Linked DNA regions of Xenopus tropicalis. The protein of the gene in region 1 interacts with the protein of each later gene in a pairwise test. Links are inferred from orthologs where the notes say so. Each region holds a gene or a part of one and is shown in the gene's direction. Other genes may lie near its edges. The genes, in order: snca, csnk1d, lamp2, usp8 and sdf4.

The links.
Region 2: the proteins of snca (region 1) and csnk1d interact in binary tests that used the Homo sapiens proteins (3 or more experiments, as listed by UniProt). The link is inferred for Xenopus tropicalis from reciprocal best matches to the Homo sapiens genes SNCA and CSNK1D.
Region 3: the proteins of snca (region 1) and lamp2 interact in binary tests that used the Homo sapiens proteins (3 or more experiments, as listed by UniProt). The link is inferred for Xenopus tropicalis from reciprocal best matches to the Homo sapiens genes SNCA and LAMP2.
Region 4: the proteins of snca (region 1) and usp8 interact in a two-hybrid assay, tested with the Homo sapiens proteins (2 studies listed by BioGRID, with this or other methods). The link is inferred for Xenopus tropicalis from reciprocal best matches to the Homo sapiens genes SNCA and USP8.
Region 5: the proteins of snca (region 1) and sdf4 interact in a two-hybrid assay, tested with the Homo sapiens proteins (2 studies listed by BioGRID and IntAct). The link is inferred for Xenopus tropicalis from reciprocal best matches to the Homo sapiens genes SNCA and SDF4.

What each region holds. Positions count from the first base shown.
Region 1 is NC_030677.2:78,449,869-78,453,383, forward strand, and holds part of snca (alpha-synuclein), read left to right. Parts: intron 1-627; coding exon 628-764; intron 765-3,515. UniProt on the Homo sapiens protein: Neuronal protein that plays several roles in synaptic activity such as regulation of synaptic vesicle trafficking and subsequent neurotransmitter release.
Region 2 is NC_030686.2:23,251,943-23,256,034, reverse strand, and holds the start of csnk1d (casein kinase I), read left to right. Parts: upstream 1-1,282; 5' UTR 1,283-1,501; coding exon 1,502-1,577; intron 1,578-4,092. UniProt on the Homo sapiens protein: Essential serine/threonine-protein kinase that regulates diverse cellular growth and survival processes including Wnt signaling, DNA repair and circadian rhythms. It can phosphorylate a large number of proteins.
Region 3 is NC_030684.2:46,049,606-46,053,782, reverse strand, and holds the start of lamp2 (lysosome-associated membrane glycoprotein 2 precursor), read left to right. Parts: upstream 1-1,371; 5' UTR 1,372-1,425; coding exon 1,426-1,471; intron 1,472-4,177. UniProt on the Homo sapiens protein: Lysosomal membrane glycoprotein which plays an important role in lysosome biogenesis, lysosomal pH regulation and autophagy.
Region 4 is NC_030679.2:104,931,710-104,935,224, reverse strand, and holds part of usp8 (ubiquitin carboxyl-terminal hydrolase 8), read left to right. Parts: intron 1-1,122; coding exon 1,123-1,267; intron 1,268-3,017; coding exon 3,018-3,244; intron 3,245-3,515. UniProt on the Homo sapiens protein: Hydrolase that can remove conjugated ubiquitin from proteins and therefore plays an important regulatory role at the level of protein turnover by preventing degradation. Converts both 'Lys-48' an 'Lys-63'-linked ubiquitin chains.
Region 5 is NC_030683.2:93,660,514-93,664,680, forward strand, and holds the start of sdf4 (45 kDa calcium-binding protein precursor), read left to right. Parts: upstream 1-1,358; 5' UTR 1,359-1,411; coding exon 1,412-1,731; intron 1,732-4,167. UniProt on the Homo sapiens protein: May regulate calcium-dependent activities in the endoplasmic reticulum lumen or post-ER compartment. Isoform 5 may be involved in the exocytosis of zymogens by pancreatic acini.

The sequences.
Region 1 (3,515 bases):
TTTTTGGTTAAAGGAAAACTATACCCCCAGAATGAAAACATAACCAACAGATAGTTTATATTATGTTAAGTGATCAATTAAAAAATCTTGCCAAACTGGAATATATATATCAGCAAATATTGCCCTTTTCCATCCTTTCCCTTGAGCCACCATTTTGTGACATGCGGAGCAGTGGGGAGAGGTCCCTATTGGTCAATATGGGAGCAAATTTCAGAATTTCAGTGTGGCGGGCGTACCCCTAAATTGTTGCTGCCCTAGGCCAGGCCTTTGTAGCCTCGCCACAAATCCGGTCCTGCTTGTTTGTGAATCCTATGATCCTAGGAGGTGGCCCTTAATTCTTAAAATGGCAATTTTCTAATTAGGAGTACCTAATAGCACATACTACTACAAAAGTATATTTTTATGGTTTATTTGGGTGAAGCAGGGTTTTACATATGAGCTTGTTTATGCATTTTATTTTTATAGAGACCTACATTGTTTGGGGGTATTCTGCATTGCTAAAAGAAACATAAATGTGGGCACAGAATACTATTGCCTAATTATTTGCTTTTTTCCATATTTCATTTTTATGAACCAAACATCTTATAGAGCATGAGCATTGAATTTTGTTTGTTTATTGTACATCAGTTGCTGAAAAGACCAAAGAGCAGGTGTCTAATGTTGGTGGAGCAGTAGTCACAGGAGTAACTGCAGTTGCACAAAAGACAGTTGAAGGAGCCGGAAATATTGCTGCAGCAACAGGACTGGTAAAGAAGGATCAAAAGGTAAATGCTTTTTTAAATTTATTATATATTATGTAGTCTTTGAAAGACTTAAGTTCCCATATGTAATAAAACTCGAAACTTTCGTATGAACGATCCAAGCATTAGCCTTTTTAGGTCAATACAAACTTCGAAGGAATATGTGCAGCAGCTATTAGGCTATTCTTTTTCCTTTCTTATTGCTAAGTAAAACAGAGCAAAATATAAACTGAACACTTGTGATGGGCAAAATAGTTTGCCTGGCATGGATTCATGGGGAATTTCGCCTTTGGTGGATTGTTTAGTGAAACGAGCGTCAAAATTCGGCCCGGGAAAATTCGGCGCACATAAAAAGTGATGTGTGTCAAAAACACGCATCAAAAAATGATGCGCGCAACAAATTGTTTTTGAGCGCGACATTTTTGCCATTTCGTGAATCTTTTAAAAGATTTGCAACAATCAAACAAAACCGGATTCGCTCATCACTACTGAAAAAATTAGGGAATCAGCAAATACAGTGATTGAATCAGAGATAAATGTTAATTAGTCATTAAAAAATAAAATAAAATTATTATAATTAAATACATTTTAATAAGTATAAATGATCATTTAAAAAACTCAACACATAATACTTTTTAATGCTGTAGTATTGCAATTGATTGGTCTGAGTGTCTGTATCAGATAAAAATATACATGCTCAATGAAGCATACTTATCAAAATGTTTTTGCTAAAATCAATATACTGTATGGTGATTGATATTAATTCACATCTGTGTTTAATTGCAAAATTTATATATTTACTAACTAATGGATTAACTCAGTTGGCTTCTTTACCATTATAGGGGCAAATTAGCTTAAGCACAGTTATCCATAGCAACCAAAGAGACTTTTTCATGGACTTGCAGTTGACTGAATAAAGCTAAATTCTGAGTGGTTTCTATGGATTACTGTGCTGACACAAGGAAGTGATACTAATTGTGTTAATGAATTCAGATGTAAGTATGTAAAATATTACAAATGCATGAGATGTGAAAAGAATCACAGGGATCTGATTAATCAAATATGTTAAATTCATCATGTTCCATTTTAAGCCTTTTAAGAGTAGATTCTGTAGAAGCTTTTTTACTAGAATTTTGAGATAAATCTGATAACCTTAGATGGTGATTTTATGTATGATCTGCAAGCACTAGAATCATGTACTTAGATTGTTCCTTTGTCTGAGGGTATGGGTTGCTACACTCTTATATGTTGCCTTTACAATTTCAAGCTGGGAAACTAAACTAAACTTAAAACTAAAAATATCTATTTATTTATGAGTTCATCAGTCTTTTCTATGTGCTACTATATCATGCCTAATCTGGAAATCTCTGACATCACATAGTTTAGTGGTAGTCAGACTTATGCAGACTTAAGGTGGCCATACACGTTACAAGTACGATCTTTAAGAAAGATTGTTTGTACCCTCCACTAACGTTCAGAGCTGAATCATCAGATATGGTGGTAGAAAGAGTAGGAATTCTACCCCATTAGACGATTCAGCCCTAAAAGCATGCCTTTGGTTGGATGCCTTCAACCGTGCCTGATCAAAATCTTCTGTTCCGCCCAACCGATTGATGAGGTGACTGATATCCAAGGCTTTTGCCATATTAGTCGCCTGGTCAATACACTATACAGGCACCATATATTGTACGAAACCTCGTTTCTGTGCATGTATGGGCAGCTTGACCTATGTAAAGTGCAAAATAATTGAAACACTGAAACACAACTGATGGAGGTATTACATCTATACACAGTTGAACCTACTTCACTGAATAAGGTACAGGTATAGGACCCATTATCCAGAATGCTCGGGATACCATACCTTAAGTCTATTAAAAAATCAATAAAACATTAATTAAACCCCATAGGATTGTTTTGCATCCAATAAGGATTATTTATATCTTAGCTGGGATCAGTTACAAGGTACTGTTTTATTACTACAGAGAAAAAGGAAATCAGTTTTAAAATTCTATATTATTTGATTAAAATGGAGTCTATGGGAGATGGGCTTTCTGTAATTCTGAGCTTTCTGGATAATGAGTTTCTGGATAAGGGATCCCATACCTGTACAAGGTTCAGAGCACAGGAATTATTATCACATGCCTAAAGAAGAAGGTTTTTTTCCAATTAATACTTTGTGAGTTGTACCTACACATGCAATTGGCTCACACTTGTTGATTTAGGTCTGCTATTACTTATACGGAATGTTGGAAGGCCATAATGTTGTCATACAATGTAGTCTGTAGAGCCAAAGGAGAGTGTGGTGGCCAATAAAATATCCTGTACTGCATTCTAGAAGAAAAACCCAAAATGATAAGCCTACTATAGAAGCAATGTAGACGAGCAAAAGACTTTAAATTAAACAAAACTATTCTAGTGTTGACAGAGAATAGTATGTGTGTCTTTGGTGCTCATATGAGATCTGTTAACTGAAATCTTTGGGGCCTTTTGGTTTTCTAAAATTGTAATTTGGAACCCTGTTCCTTAAAGTGATACTGACACTAAAAAATCACAAAAAAATCTTAATGTACATTAAAGGAGAAGGAAAGGCAAAGTCACTTGGGGGTGCCAAAATGTTAGGCACCCCCAAGTGACTTAAATCACCTACCTTTTACCCCGGACTGGTGCCCCTGTTCGGAGAGAACAGCACCAGCCCGGGGTAGCAGCGATCGCTTCCTCCTTCCTGTTCGCTCACATGCATGCGCAGTAGAGTGAAAAGCCGAACTTTAACAGAGA
Region 2 (4,092 bases), on another chromosome or scaffold:
TAGACCTGTGGGGTCCATATTTAGGGTGTTTTATATGGTTACCTGTAGAAAATAAGATGCTGCAAAATGGAAGCTTTGGGGCTTGGTATTTTAGAATAGAAAGACCTATTTTGAATTCAGGTAAATGTGTACTTTCCAAAAACAAAGGGCAACCCACTCCGTTAAGAAGGGGGGTTTTTAGTTAAATATTTGGAGAGGTATTTTACAGTAAGAGCTGTGAAGTTGCGGAAATCCCTCCCTGAACCAGTAGTACTGGCTGATACATTATATAGCTTTTAGAAGGGGTTGGATGACTTTTTAGCAAGTGAGGGAATACAGGGTTATGGGAGATAGCTCTTAGTACTGGTTGATCCAGGGACTGGTCCGATTGCCATCTTGGAGTCAGGAAGGAATTTTTTCCCCTCTGAGGCAAATTAGAGAGGCTTCAGATGGGGTTTTTTGCCTTCCTCTGGATCAACTAGCAGTTAGGCAGGTTATATACTGTATAGGCATTATGGTTGAATGTGGTGGACGTATGTCTTTTTTCAACCTAACTTACTATGTTACTATGTTATAATGGCAATCAGTGAAAAAAAAAAAAAAAATTTAAATGAGTACATTAGAATGGCAAAAATGGGAAATTATTATAGGCAGGCAGAATCTATTTTTAACACAAGTTCTATTCATTATGCTAATTTTTAGCAAAGGTATACTTTCCCTTTAATATCTTTTATATAACAATGAAAAAGAAAGCAATTTTTAAAACTGGATATTTTCTTAAATTTTGTGCTCAGTGTACAACCAGTGATTAAGCGTTTGTTTTAAAATTAACATTAAGGGCAGTGACACACTGGGAGATAAGTCGCCGGGCGTCAAATCTTTGTTGTCGCAGGCAATTAATCTCCCCGCAATGCCATCCCACAGGCTAGAATGTAAATCGCCGGTGGGATGGCATACGCGGCACAGCGATTTGCCTAAGTCGCCCAAAGTTTCCTCTCAAGGCGACTTTGGCAAATTGCGGGGTCACGTATGCCTGCAACAACAGAGATTTGTAACTGATCAAAACCTCTCTTTTTTAATAACGTTTGCTGTTGTACTGACCCTTTTTTCTCTCTCAAGTTTGTATGTAAGAAAACCTAACCTAGACCATTAAATTAAATGACTGCGAAAATCGAGTTCATCAGCTGATCATGTGATTCCGTGACCCCCATTACGCTCCTCCTTCCCAGCGCCGCTAGTTTGTTGCTAGGTAGAGTGACGTCACGAGTTTCGGTGACAGCCTCTCTCAGGTTTGTTTGTTGGAATCGGCCTAAGTACTCGGTATAATCCGCCTAAATCCTACGTTTTAAGGCTTCCCGGGAGCGCGGAAGTGAAAGGAACACAGAGAGCGCTCTTTGATCTATCGTACCGGCACTATTTTATGCTCCCTAGTAGTGGATGGAAAACGTAAATTGATGGTGAAAAGTGCCCCGGGCTTTAGAGACTGATAGCTGGGGAAGGAGGAAAGGGCCTGCACGGCAGGATGGAGTTGAGAGTCGGAAACAGGTATCGGTTGGGTCGAAAGATCGGCAGCGGCTCATTCGGTGACATATATTTGGGTAAGAAGATAATTTATAAGTGTAGGACTGTTTAACATGAACCTTGGCTCTTTACCCCTTCCCCTTACGAAATGGTACAGTCTCTTCTGAGAGCTATGGGAGAGACTAAGCAATGGTACAGTCTCAGCTGAGAGCTATGGGAGAGACTAAGCAATGGTACAGTCTCAGCTGAGAGCTATGGGAGAGACTAAGCAATGCTACAGTCTCAGCTGAGAGCTATGGGAGAGACTAAGCTTGCCGCCCCACAATGTAAAGGCATACAGTAGAACAACGGGGTTTCTGCCAGCTGGGGTGTAATCCTGGCCCCAATATACTGTATTAGACCTGGGGGCTGTGGTAGGCAGCTGGCATATAGTCTGGGGGAGGAGAGGGGGGGGGGGGGGTTGATGGAAATGACACACTAAAATGGTACCTTTCTTTTTATAAGGATTTGTGTCTACTATGTGCAGGAAAGATGGTGGGTTAGAACCTTATGGGGTTATTAGACAGGCCCAGTAAGAGATTACATGTTTTACTCTAGTGTTTTGTCTTTACAATAGAGCTGATAGTGATATATTTAGTGGCAGAGTGTACTACCTCATTACTATGGAGATACAGTCCAGCCTTTCCCATCTCCAATTCTAGATCCTTGCATCTTACAATAAGATTCTTTTAAAGGGCATCTTCACCAGGCTGTTTTTAGGAGGGCTTTTAACTAAAGTACAGAGGAATATTGGAGACTGTATTTGCTTTCATTTAACCATAAGAGCATTAGTGGCACTGGTCTTGGTGTTCCCAGTCCCCCCACCATATCTAATTGGGTTGAGGTGCAGGCCAGTCAAGTTTCATCCTCATCTCAGGAAAAACATTTTTTATGGACCTCGCTTTGTGCACGGGGGTATTACATTGCTGTTACAGGACGAGGGCCTTAACCCACCAAGTAGGATGAATAGAATTGTTATTGTATGCTGTATAATTCAAGTTTGCTGTCACTGGAGCTGGGGCCCTACGCCAAACCATGAAAAACAGCCTTATGCTATACTTTACATATGCATGATATACATATAGACATGTAGTTTTTTCCTGGCATCATCCATACCCAGATTTGTCTGTCAGATTGCTATATTATAAAGTGCAATTCATCATTGCATACAATGGCACCAATGGCAGAGACCTTTATAGGCCTAGCACTGTGCATGATCATGTGTGTGGCTGCTTGTCCATAAAAACAACCCATTCTTCCGATTATAGACAAGCAGATTGGACTCGGCAATGAGTATTGCAAATTATACATATTCCTTGTGTATGGATTCAGCTGAATACTGAACTGAACATAGAAAAGGAAATTGCAGTAAATGAGGGAAAAAATGCTGATGTAGTGTGTGACCACTTTTTTTTCAATACATATGGTGTGGATCCGGTTTGGCCGAATCCTGCTAAAAATGTCTGGGATTCCAACTACCGATTCTGGTATTTGGTGCATGCCTGGTATTATAATCTGACATGTTTGTGTCCTTTTAAACCCATACGATTTCTTAAAATATAATTTTTGTGGGCAATGTAATTCCCGGCTTAAACCTTGATACTGTAGCCGAAACATTGGGTTTAGGCTCTGTCACTGGGAGTTCCCAGGGATTCTAGACGCCAAATGTGTTTTTCCTTCCTTAAAAGCCTTCCATCTACAAATGCAAATCAGTAAAATATTGAGATGTTTGTGGTATATATCAGGACTGGCTGGGGCTCTGCAGTTCATCAGGTCACCCAATGTGAACCTATCTACTGTAGCCCCCTAGGGAACTAGCTGCATCATATAAAGATAGTGTTGGGATTGGGCTGTTAAGAGCAGGCCAATAATAGAGAGAAATTATTTTGACATTTTGGTTAGAAAGGCTTCAGCAGTAGGCTGAACAATTCTGCAGCCCAGGGTAGTCTATAATATAGGTAGGTAATTGTTCTTCTAGAGACAAGTGGGTTTGTCTGTGGGGGAACCCATACATCATTTACATGTGTAGAACCCTGTATCGTTTAGCATTGTACTTCCCACTTCACCATATTGTGGTATATGACACGACAGGGCCTATTTATCATACTGTGTGAAGGCGAACAAATAAACCAGATGTCGCGTGTAAAAAATTATGTAATTTATCAAGTTGTGTATCGATTTTTAGTGACCGTGTAGCTCTGTATAATAATCCAAAAACCTAAGCACCCACTTGATATGGTAAAATATGTCTCTTTGGGGGGAGATTTTTTTTTTTGCCACAACAACTTCTGCAAGACCTTACTTGACGCTTACATTTTTCCCATTGACTGATAACACAAGGTGTGAAATAATGGAATCAATAATAATGGCGTAATTTGGCATGTCGTTCGGATGGAGTAAAATAAACCACACACCGTTTTTTTATCGTTTTACACATTATGGTAAATGGGGACCATTATGCACTTGGTTTATAATGTAAAGAGGATATTGTGTGTGTCTCTAAAAATGTCAAACTATCCCAGGACTGTAAATATATTTGTGTCCATATAACTA
Region 3 (4,177 bases), on another chromosome or scaffold:
AGATAGATAGGTAAAAGGATATATTGATAGGGATAGATAGATGATAGATAGATAAAAGGATAGATTGATAGGGGTAGATGATGATAGATAGATATAATGATATTTAAACTACATATTGGAGAATGCTGCATTATGTGTGAGGATGTAGAAAAACAAAGATCAATTTTCTAGGAATCCCACATGATGAATGAATGCAAAAGTTGAGTATGTTACATAGTGGGATTTTCTCTCTGTACCTCAAAACAGCACCTTTGACTCAGCATTTACTGTATTTCAGCTTAATATTATGTTTCATGTCGCCTCCCTCCTTCAATCTGCAACTAAATGGCCTTCTAGTGCAAGCTTTTGGCTGTGCAAGGCCAAGCAGGGATATTTTAGTTATACAGGGCCAGTGTTAGGGTATGGCAGAATTATTATGATTTTTTAAGGGCTAAACTCCACGGGAGATTTTGTAGGAAGGTGTCAGATTGACAAAACACATCCTACAATTCAGATGTAGTTGCATGGGTTAATATAATGGAACTGATACAAAAATCTGATGTGTTGCCTACATGAAAGAATTGCCATCCAAAGGGATTGCTGCCTCTTTATCCGACGAGATAAAATCTTTAGTCATTGAAATACATCGACTGTCAGATGTAGTTGTAGAAACAAAACCAACCATCCAATGTTATCTGATCCGACTTCACAATACAGCAAATTACACAGCACTTTATGGTAATTTATAACAAATGGGTCAGAATAAAAATGGGATTAGGGGGCCCTGTATAGAGATTAATTTTGCTCTCCAATGTTAAAAATGCCAACAGCCTTTATTATAACATGATTCAACATACACAAAACCCAGAGTCTATGGGGCTTTTTTTCTGCCTGAATGGCACATAGGCAGTAAGGAACTCTAAATACATACACAATATTTAAAGCCACTTACCCCTCCCAACAATTAAAAATCAACCAGTCAATGCTTGTTGCCCCTCTGGGGCAAGTTCAGTTATTCTACTATAACAAGTACAAAAGAGTAATTTAAACCAAGTGCTAAATGTGCATACAAATAAAAAATACAAATACTTCTCTCCTAAACAATAATCTATGAAGATTTCCTCATCTTATGCCTAATGTTACTTACTGTATAACCTGTACTAAGAATTGTCTTGTATCACTGTTGTTACATTCAGCGAAATGTTAAGAGATGTAACAGTGGTGTAAGTGCCGAGGGCACAGAATCTCAATCTAAATCCGGCCGCCCGCCCGCTCTTCCATTTACAGCTTTCTGAAACGTGAACCACAAGGACAATGGAAGCTTTTTTTGTTTTCTGATTGGTTAGCGAGGTGATGATCTGTCATGTGACTGTGGTGTGTTCTTTCTGCAGTCAGTATTCCAGCTGGTAGCACCGTGTACGGGTTTTGTTGGGGCCACTTGGAGCCATGGAGCGCTGTGCGTGTCCTGCAGCCTTGTTGCTACTAAGCCTAGGTGAGTGGGGGGCAACGGGGAGAGGACGGGGGGGGGGGGGGGGGTTTGGGCTAAAGAGCCGCACACAGAGGCTTTTGTGCTTAAGGGGCTGTTTGTGGGGGTGGGTTAGGAGTGGCTCAGGGACAAGCGTAAAATCATTTTTTTTTTAATTGTATACATGTATGAGCAGTTACTGTATAACTAGGCGCAAATGTATGCGTCCAACCTGCTGCTTCCTGCTGTTGCACAGCTACTGGGCTGCTGCTCCCTGACCAACTGGGGAGGCCAAGGTTACACTCACAGCTACATACCTGCCTACAAACAACTGGCCTGCTGAGTACAGCAACCGGAAGTCCCTTTAGCCTGGCACAGCAAGCAGGGATAGCTCACCCAAAAATGTAGGGGTAGTACTTTAGTGAAGAGTTCCAGGCCACCATGTTGGATCCAGTAATTGCTTTATAATCTTAAAGTGGCGCAGGCAGATTCAGCAGCTTATCTGCCCCTGTATGGGGCCCGCCGACGGGCATCCCTGATCGATATCTGTACGTCAAGGTGTTGAGTGGGCAGGTTCGATTTCCTCATCAGATCAGGGGCCACAAAAGGAGCGCATCAATGAACCAACTGGCAAGAAATCTGCGCTGTATAGGAAACTCAACAAAGGAAGGGTAGTTCCCTTGCACCTTTCCAGCTACTGCCAGGGGGATAGTTGGGTAATATGAATAATGGGAAGTACCCAGGAGGATGATCTAATGGCCTTGCCAGTGACCGGCTTGCTTACTGATCCCCAGTGTACAATCACACTCCGTAGATCTGTCTTTTAGCAGCCATGTTGTATGGTGAATATGATGTAACTTCTGGCATGGGAAACCTGAGGAGCTGCAGGAAGGTAAAGCACCTCTATCAGGATCCCATCTACAGATTAGGGCTCAACATTGTAGTTTAGCAACACCCAGAGTGATGTTGCAGAGTTCTACATCCTTAATAGTATGATATAATTGTTGTCATGTTAATTCTGTGTTCTGCCTTTCTTTAGGGACACATGCCTTCTTTCTAGGGACTAAGGCTCATATGTGAGAGCATATATATGTATATATAAAATAGTATATACACACACACATATACATATACATGTGTGTGTGTGTGTGTGTGTGTGTAAACTTATATAATTTAACACCATCATCTTTTTTTATCTGACCCCAGAGTTTGCTCTTGCATTTATACCTATGGATAATCCTTATTCATCTCTTCAGTGGCAGCAATGTGGCTGCTCCCACTTCCATGCAAACTCATCTTTCTGAGCTAAAGTGTTGAGCAGGGAATTTTTAGTCCTTTCAAGTTAGGGGGGGAAACAAGTTTGCCCTTTAATTTGGAATGAATTGTTGGGCTATGGTTCCTATTGTCACTGACATCTCTTGATTGCATAATGGCAATGAAATCTTTAATCTGGGCAATGGACATTTAATCCATCCAATCACAGAGCTTTTTTTTAGGGATATTACCTGGGGATGTGCGCATACAGGCGAGATTTTACCTTTAATTTTCCCACCTCATTATAAGGAGAAGGGAATCCTGCAAAGGGAGAGTAATGCGTGAAGCACATGCGTTCCTTGCCCAGGCTTGATTCATACAGTGCTGTTAAACAATATGGATCTTCAGCTCAATGCTTTCACTTTTCATGACCCATAGCAGCTAATGGGACGGCAGCCACATAAACCAATTGAAGGTTAGCATATTGGCTCTGTTTAACCCTTTCTCAGCTAGGCACTTAAACCTTTAGCGCTTCCAGCATGCTTTATATGCATCCCAGGTGTGCCACTGAGACCAAACCACCAAATACTCATGTGCAGGATATTTAGGGAACAATAATAAATACATTTCAACAATTTCATTTAAATGTAGATAAATGGCACAGCATAAGCTGTTGTGCCCGCCAGCGATGCCCTCTCATAGGCAGCTGCCAAGGTCGCTGTAAGGACGTTCCATCCAAAAGGTGGTCTAATAATATCCTGGCTGGATGTAACCTATGCTTGTCTCTGAGTAACCTGATGCATAGGGGTGATCTCTTGATAGAGATCGTATGATATGCACAGAGAACATTACATTCAGCCGCAGCCGTGAATATTAAAGTGGACTTGTTTTAAGTGCTTTCCTGAGTTTTGAGTGACCTGGTTTTCTCTTGGGAGAGGCCATCCTGCTAAGTATTGTAGCCTTTTGTCACATCCCTGTCATAATCATAGGAACTGCTAGAGCAGTGCTGTCCAACTTCTGTTGTACCGAGGGCCGCAATTTTTCCGACCTACGTGGTGGAGGGCCGATAATGGAAGCCAGTTTTGACCACTCCCATTTTTGAAACCACACCCACTTGAAACCACACCCATGTTATCACATGACCATACCCATATTAATGGTTGTAGTACAGCAAAAACCTGCCATACTCTGCCTGCCCTACCCTGCCTGTGTGTGCCATACTCTGCCTTCCCTGCCCTGCCTGTGTGTGCCATACTCTGCCTTCCCTACCCTGCCTGTGTGCCATACTTTCCCTGTGTTTGCCATTCTTGGCTGGTTTGTGCCATACTTGGCCTGTGTGTGCCATACTCTGCCTTCCCTACCCTGCCTGCGTGTGCCATACTTTCACTGTGTTTGCCATTCTTGGCTGGTTTGTGCCATACTTGGCCTGTGTGTGCCATACTCTGCCTGTGTGTGCCATACTCTGCCTTCCCTACCCTG
Region 4 (3,515 bases), on another chromosome or scaffold:
TTTCGTAGCGTTAAAACTTGCGCGAAAAGTTGCGCTTTTTTCGTAGCGTTAAAACTTAAAAGGCACGACGTTTTGCGCAAGTTTTAACACTATGAAAAAATCGCAACTTTTTGCGCAAGTTTTAACGCTACGAAAAAATCGCAGCTTTCGGAATGGCTACGAAAAACTCGCGTTTTTCCGCAAAAATCGTATTGGTAACGAAAAAATCGCAAAATACCGATCATTACGAAAAAAACGCAATCGGACGCATTCGGCCCGTTCGTGAGTAAGTAAATGGGCCCCTTACTGTAGCATATATAGCATGCTGCAGTACAACCAAAGAGAAAACAGCTAGTACAACAGTTAAACTATTCTCCATAGGTTTAATACATTAAACCATTTACAATTTTTTGTTATAAATGACGACAATATGCAGAACACAGTAAAAGACCTGCTTATGGGGTTCAATTGAACATGGATGTATCTTGTCTCCTTAATATTATGGCAATGCAAAAATGTCTTCACACTTAATCTAAACAAATCGCCCAGTTATTTAAATCGGTTAATTAAACACCAACTAGTTTTCATTATGGATGCAGTAGTTCAAGGATTCAACTAAATTAAAGTGACGTTAATTTTTGAAGCTGTAAAAAATTGAACACTATAAAGTTTTGTTCACAATTGATGTCATTTATTTTTTTTCTGAAGTGCAGAATTCTGAAAGCAAATTAGATTAAGGATCCCATTTAGAATTCAGCTAAATATTTTGGGAAGTATTTGGTATTCAAACAAATGAAAAAATTATGTGTTTGGTGCATCCCCATCACTGATTTTTCTTCAGTTGAGTACACACAAGCAGATGCATCATTTTCAAACTTTTATTTTTTTTTTATATATCGGTTATTCTATAGCACCAATGCATTTACAGAGATTATTCATCATTCTCATCAATCCCTGCTTCTGTGGAGTTTACAAGCTAAGGTCCCTATCACAGTCGCACACATGACAGAATATATGCATGACCATAGTATTACAGACTATTCTTAGCAAGTAGAGAATACATAGCAGTGCAAACAAATGTATTTGCATGTGGATTTTTTGGCCATTTTCACTTATGATCTTTGTTTCTATTTTTTTGTACAGTGGGAAACAAAAACAATCCTACGGAGTGAACCTTTAGTTTTGGAAGGTGGTTATGAAAATTGGCTTCTTTGTTATCCCATGTTCACAACAAATGGGAAAGTGACTGTGCCCAGGAAAAGAACACAAGAATCTGTGTCTTTGTCATGTAAGTTGACCAGTAAATGCGTCAGATTGTTGTATTATGTTATGGATTTTTTAGACATGCTCCTGTTAGCAGAATACCGCACTGTCCCAGGGTACTTCTAAGTGAGCACCATTGAGCAATCCTCTTCTTCTCCTTCTCCATTCTCCAGTGGCCCTGGACTGATACTTGTGTAGTAGCTGCAAAAGTGCAAAATTTTGGCTTTTCACTCTACTTTGTATGTGCACCCTATGAGAAGATAAGGGAAGAGGATCACTTCATGGTGTTTGATCAGAAGTACTGGGGCAGTTTTCTTCTGAAAGTAGCAGCAGTCTGGGGTATCATTCAAATGATTATAATTTTATCTTTCCTTCCTCTTTTAAATATAATCTCTGTTAGATATTACATCTAACATCTAATGTATATACCATGCCGCGTTTAGGGTAAAGGGCAAATTATACTGAAAACTTTTTTTTTGAAGATTGTCAGGGGTGCAGCGTTGGTACATCTCAAATTCTGCCTTTCTTTGGTTGGGGAGTTGAGGTCTTGTACATTATGTGAGATAATTTAGATTGACCTTGAGATGTGGGGCAGAAAAATCCCTTTCCCAAGTTACCTGGAGTTGGTCTTTGGTGGAAGGTAGTAGCATTAATTGTTTTGTGGTTGTAACAGTTGTCCATGCAGGATATGGGCGATGTGAGGTAAATGGTGAAATCTTCTCTATTGTAGAGTTGTTGGCGCAATATCGGCATATATCCGCATTTCGTATGGCTTATCAACAGTACATGCAGCTTGTAGAGCATAGTCCAAGACCTCTACATAGTGCAGCTTTAGTATGATACCTCTGGGGAGGTTGGTGTTTCAGGGGTGTCCCAGGGCGCGACGAATTCTTTGAATATGGAGGTGGTCTTCTGGTAGGTCTGGTAGAAGTTTGGTGCAATACCTCATTCATCAAGCGATATAGGTCGGTAACCATTTCAGGGGCCACCCTTACCCTCAAGTTGCCCCTCCTTTATCTGTTTTCCAGATCTTCTATGTAATTTTCAAGTTGCAAAATTTGGGCCTGATGTAGGGCCAATTGTTTTTAATCCTCTTTTGAAGCCACTGCTTGAAAGTCTGCACTGTTCCAGGTAGTCCACCCTGTCCCCTATTTCTCTTATTTGGCATGTGAACTGCTGCAGTGAGTTTGGTTTTGAACAGTTTCTTGTACCTTATTGTGGAGCAATCTGTGCAAGTCACTGGGCAAGTTAATTTTAGCTTTTTATAGCAGAACTGGAGCAGAGCATCCTTCCTGTTAAGTTCCCCATGTAAGCTTTTCTTTATAACTTGGGGCCTAGAACTTGTGAAGCTAGAAAAGGAGGTCTTTGACCAAGATACCTAAAATGACAAACCAAAAAAAAAACCAAGAGGAAATTGTTTCCAGAAACAATCCGGAATTATATGTATTGAAACAGAGATCTACATATTTTAGTGTTATAATCATTGTTTATATAATAGTTTGCTTCCCATAACTAGTGAATTTCTGGAATTATGCATAGCATTCTGTGTTTTGTCTCTGGTCTTTTTCTTAAGCAATAAGACAGACAGCTAGCATTTACATGTTGCCTCACACAAATGGGAAAGGTTGTCGCAGTTATCATATGAGACAGGCCTTAAATTAGATTTGCTAAGAATTTCTGCAGAGAGATGCCTGTGTACCGCAATACAGTTATATGCTGTTCTAATAAAATCCATGAAATGTGCATGCAGATAATGCTTTTTTCCCCTCTTTTAGTGGACTTCAGTTATCCATCTCTAGAAGAACCAGCACTTCCACCACCACCACCACCCCCTGTATGCATCAAAGAAAGCAGCTATGAGGATACTATAAATGCAGTGAAAACTCAAAAAACAGAGGAACCTGTCCATGTAGTACAAAAGGATGACCCTGTACCAGATGCTCAGACTCCAGATTCTGTTAAAGTCTGTCAGCCACAGAAAACTGTGAAAGTTATTCCACAAGTAGGTTTATCTGTGCTATATATGTGTGTGTAAATTAATTATTTTAAAATGGATTTTCAGTGTAATGTATAATAGTGCTGATCTCAGCTTTTCATTTATGCTCTTTAGTAGTATACCAGCAGTAGTTACCAATTAGTGGTATAGGAATAAGAGGATTAATTTTCCCCTTAGAGGTACTTATTTTTACATGCTACATCATTTGCCTGGATTCTGGTCCACTGACAAAGCACAATAGTAATATAAAATCCAACAATGTGAAGGAAAGGCCTAC
Region 5 (4,167 bases), on another chromosome or scaffold:
CACAAGCACCATAAAAGTTCATGGAGGAGCCAAATAAGGGCTAAGATTGGCTATTAGGGAGCCTCTATACACACTATCAGCTTACAGGGGGCTTTATTTGGTAGGAAATCTTGTTTTTATTCAACCAAAACTTGCCACCAAGTCAGGAATTCAAAAATAACTACCTGGTTTGGGGGCACTGAGAGCAATATCCCAGGGGTTGGGGAGCAACATGTTACTCATGAGCCACTGGTTGGGGATCACTGGTTTAGATACTAAAAAAAAGTTATATGGTACAGAGGAACTCTCAAAGCATTATGATTTGACTTTTTAGTAGAATATTTATTATTATGGTTTACTTCTCCCTACCCACTAAAACCCCTTGGTATGTCTGTTGGACTTTCATGCAAATGATTCATAACAAATGATTATGTATGACTGGTTATATTATAATAAATTATATTATACCCAGTTATATTATTTTGATTTGTTATGATCCTTCTATCTATGTTAAGTCCTTGAAAGTAGTACCATGCTTTTTAAGCATTTATGCTTTTTTTTACTGTTCACTTAAGGCTGTTACATATAGGAAATAATGGATGCTATTCTGTAGTGACATGTCATAATTCTAGCCATATACAAGAAACAGATTCTAATTCAGCTGTGTGGCATAGACCCTAGAGCTGTTTTGAAAATCTGGAGCTGCTCCCATGGTACACACAGAGAAATAGATAGGGGTAGAAGCCTAAATCTGCTTAGGGTGTAATTTGGGGTAAATGCTTATATCTGTCTTTTGGAATGTCCTTTATCCATGCTAGGGTGACTGTTAAACCTGTTTTTTGATTGCGAATGGTAAAATCTTGAGCTCTAAAAGTCTGACAAGTCTAGAAAATAAGATATGGATATTTTTAACACACGGATACAAATGTATATACGTACTACAAGTCTGAGTGGATTTACTGGTTTTGAGAGAAACACAACCAGGACATGGATGGTTCTATGTAAATTAAGTAGTTTGTGTGTTTTCTGCCAGTATAAGACAAGTAGCGTTTACATTTTTTTCCCCACATATGGTGCATATCATAGGGTTCATATTTTTGTATAAATTGTGATATTGCTGTTATGTACATTGATTTTTTTTATGATTTCACAGATTAAAAGAATGTACGACCAAAGAATGTCTTTTTCACCTGGGTTAATGCAATTCCTGTAACTCCTACTCATGATTAGTTGTCAGCAGTATTATCTGGCTGGGTTGAGACATTCCACAAGAGTTTTGTAGATTTTTGCCTGGACCTGCATATTAATTGCATTTTCTTTGCTATAAGTAGCTGCGTTGTAAGCTAAATTCACTACATTTTGTTTTTTCCCAGGATATAAAGAACACTAAAAGCTGCACTGTGTGGTCTCTGTTTAAGCTCTAAGCAGAAAAATGGTATCCAAGCAGGCTTTCCTCTTCAGCCTTGGTTCGCTCTACCTCTCCCTCCTCTTTGTGTTTCTCCTTATGGATGTTTATGCCAGGCCTGCAAACAATTCTGCTCTCAAGGTAGAAGGAAAAGAAAAGGCCACAGACAATAAAGATGAAAATGAAATTATGCCCCCGGACCATCTGAATGGAGTAAAGATGGAAATGGATGGTCACCTCAACAAGGAGTTCCACCAAGAGGTTTTCCTCGGTAAAGAAATAGAAGAATTTGATGAAGATTCTGAACCCCGAAGGAACAGAAGGAAACTGGCAGCTATTTTTGCCAAGTAAGTCAACCATTTCTCACCCTCAATTCTTTCAGGAATAAATTAACATCGATCTTAAGCCTTTCTTTACCATCTTTTTTCTACAAACGTTGTTGAATGTTATTCCCATTCTCATGATAGAGATCCTGGTTTGATTTCCTATGCCAACTTGAAAAGTTACTAAATATCCTTAGTACCCCTTATCATGGTTACCTTGATTGCTGTAAAGTACTATATAAGTAATGAGGTGTTGCAATTACATAGGGCCTTATAGGAGCATGTGACTTTACAGAATGAAAAACTTTATTTGGCGCAGGAATTTTGCAGGAACTTTTATGCTGTTGGGGATAGAAGGTGATTTCAGTTTATACTAAGTTTTATTGGGCATCATCTTATCGGAAAGTGAGGATGAAAGCACATCTGATCAGAAAGTGGGGATCAGATGTGCATCATTTAGCCTTAAATCTCAAACAAAGTAGTGTTTGGTCAGTTTAGCAGTACAGCATGTTGTTTGTTAATAATATGTGATGTAGGGTGAACCCTGGAAAAAACATGGCAATCTTTATGGCTATTGATCTTTCTTTTTAAAAATATTAACTGTACTGAAGGTGCATTTTTAAAATTTGCAGACTAAGGAAAAAATTGTCAAAATTATAGGCATATTTTTAAATTTCATCTCTTTCAGAAATTTGAATTACAGTTTCTCACTTGCGTTTATTGAGTTAAAGGAATACTGTCATGGGAAAACATTTTTTTTTTTTTTTTTTAAAAAGACCTATCAGTTAATAGAGCTTCTCCAACAGAATCCTGCATAAAAAGTGAATTATTTGCTATATAAACAGTGTCCTTTAGAAATAAAAAATACACCATAAAAATCATGACCGTATCCCTTTAATGAAGACATGTGAGAAAATTCTTCTTCAGTTAGGGGACATCCACCTTTGCTTCTTTTGAGTTATTAAAGTGATTTACTATCCCAGCATAATAATTCTCAAGTAAATTCACTGATAAAATTCTTCCATAAAAGAAATGTCTGTGCTCCCTTATTGGATAGAATGCTTCCAACAAAGTATGGATTTTTTATTAAAAAAACTTGATATAGCAGTCCTTTAAAACCATCTTCTACAAAGTAACAAAGCTTGGGTATAAATGTACAGTTGAGGTTACACGCACTACCTTTTACAATATTCAGTAAGATGACAGGGCATTTTTAAGATGTGAGATTTTTGTGGTGAACTTAAGCTAACTTGCTTCCTTTAGGTGTACAGTTCCAGTAAGCTTTTGCAAATAAATGTTTTATAGTTTCATAACTTATAGAAATTGTAAGATCATTTTTGCTGGGTAATATTTCTTACCATTCATATTTTTTTAAAATTGTTTTTTCCATAGTCAAAAAGCTTTTTTAAATAACCAGTTTTTATGATATCTAAGGCAGAAGTCATTTCATTGCAAGTATTATGGGAAATAATGAAGTCTACGCACTAGGGGTGGTGTAGCCACAACTTTATAGTCTGGAAGTATAGTTTTCTTAGTGAAATAGTGTTGAATTCTCAAATTCTTCAGTAAAATGAGGAGTTATTTTAAAAAAAAAATTGCCAGTGTTACTATCCTGGTCCCTGTCTGGACAAACAGGTACCCTGCCAACCTGGGTGCAGAGAAACCAAACAGATTTTGCCATCTCAATGCAAACATGTTTCTGTGCCATGTGTCTACACACAGGCCAACGCAGTGCTTGTTAGTGCAGATGCTGGAGTGGCCAAAGGCGAGTGGTTTGGGTCAGTGTCACCATAGTCAAAAGACATTAAGTTTCAGCCACAATGACTAAACATTGCCTAAGTGCTTGCTCCGTTTAATTATTAATGACTAAAAGAACTGACATACTCCTAGTATGTTTGTGGAGTGAGGAAATCTGAATACGGAGGCATGGGGCAAACATACAAACTCTTTGCAGACAGTGCTCTGCTTGGAATTGAACTTTGGACCCCAGTAAGGCAATACCATGAAGCTCTGTTAAATTTTTACTTTTCTGACACTTTTTGATTTCAGTCATGCTATATGCAAAGTATTTTAGAACTTTTATGTCTCCCCTCAAGTGCTTCTGCTTTGTATGTCTGTCCAAAGGAATTGAACTAGAAAGGAAAATTATGGTAGATCATTAAAGGAGAAAGAAAGGTAAAAACTAAGTAAGCTTTATCAGAAAGGTCTATGTAAATAAAGCCATAAGCACTCACAGAAACGCTGCACTGAGTCCTCTATCAAAAGATTTCTTGTGTCTATTTTCCTCTGCCAGAGACATGCAGCTCTCTCCTGCTCTCCCCTCCCTCAAGAATGCTAAAAACTCACTCCCCCCATTAGGAATGTGGATCTGAGCCAATCAGCAGGAAGCTTCCACATAGTCTTACAAACTGTGCATGTATACGGATCTTACTCTTGGTGCAGGAGCGAGTCATTATGGGA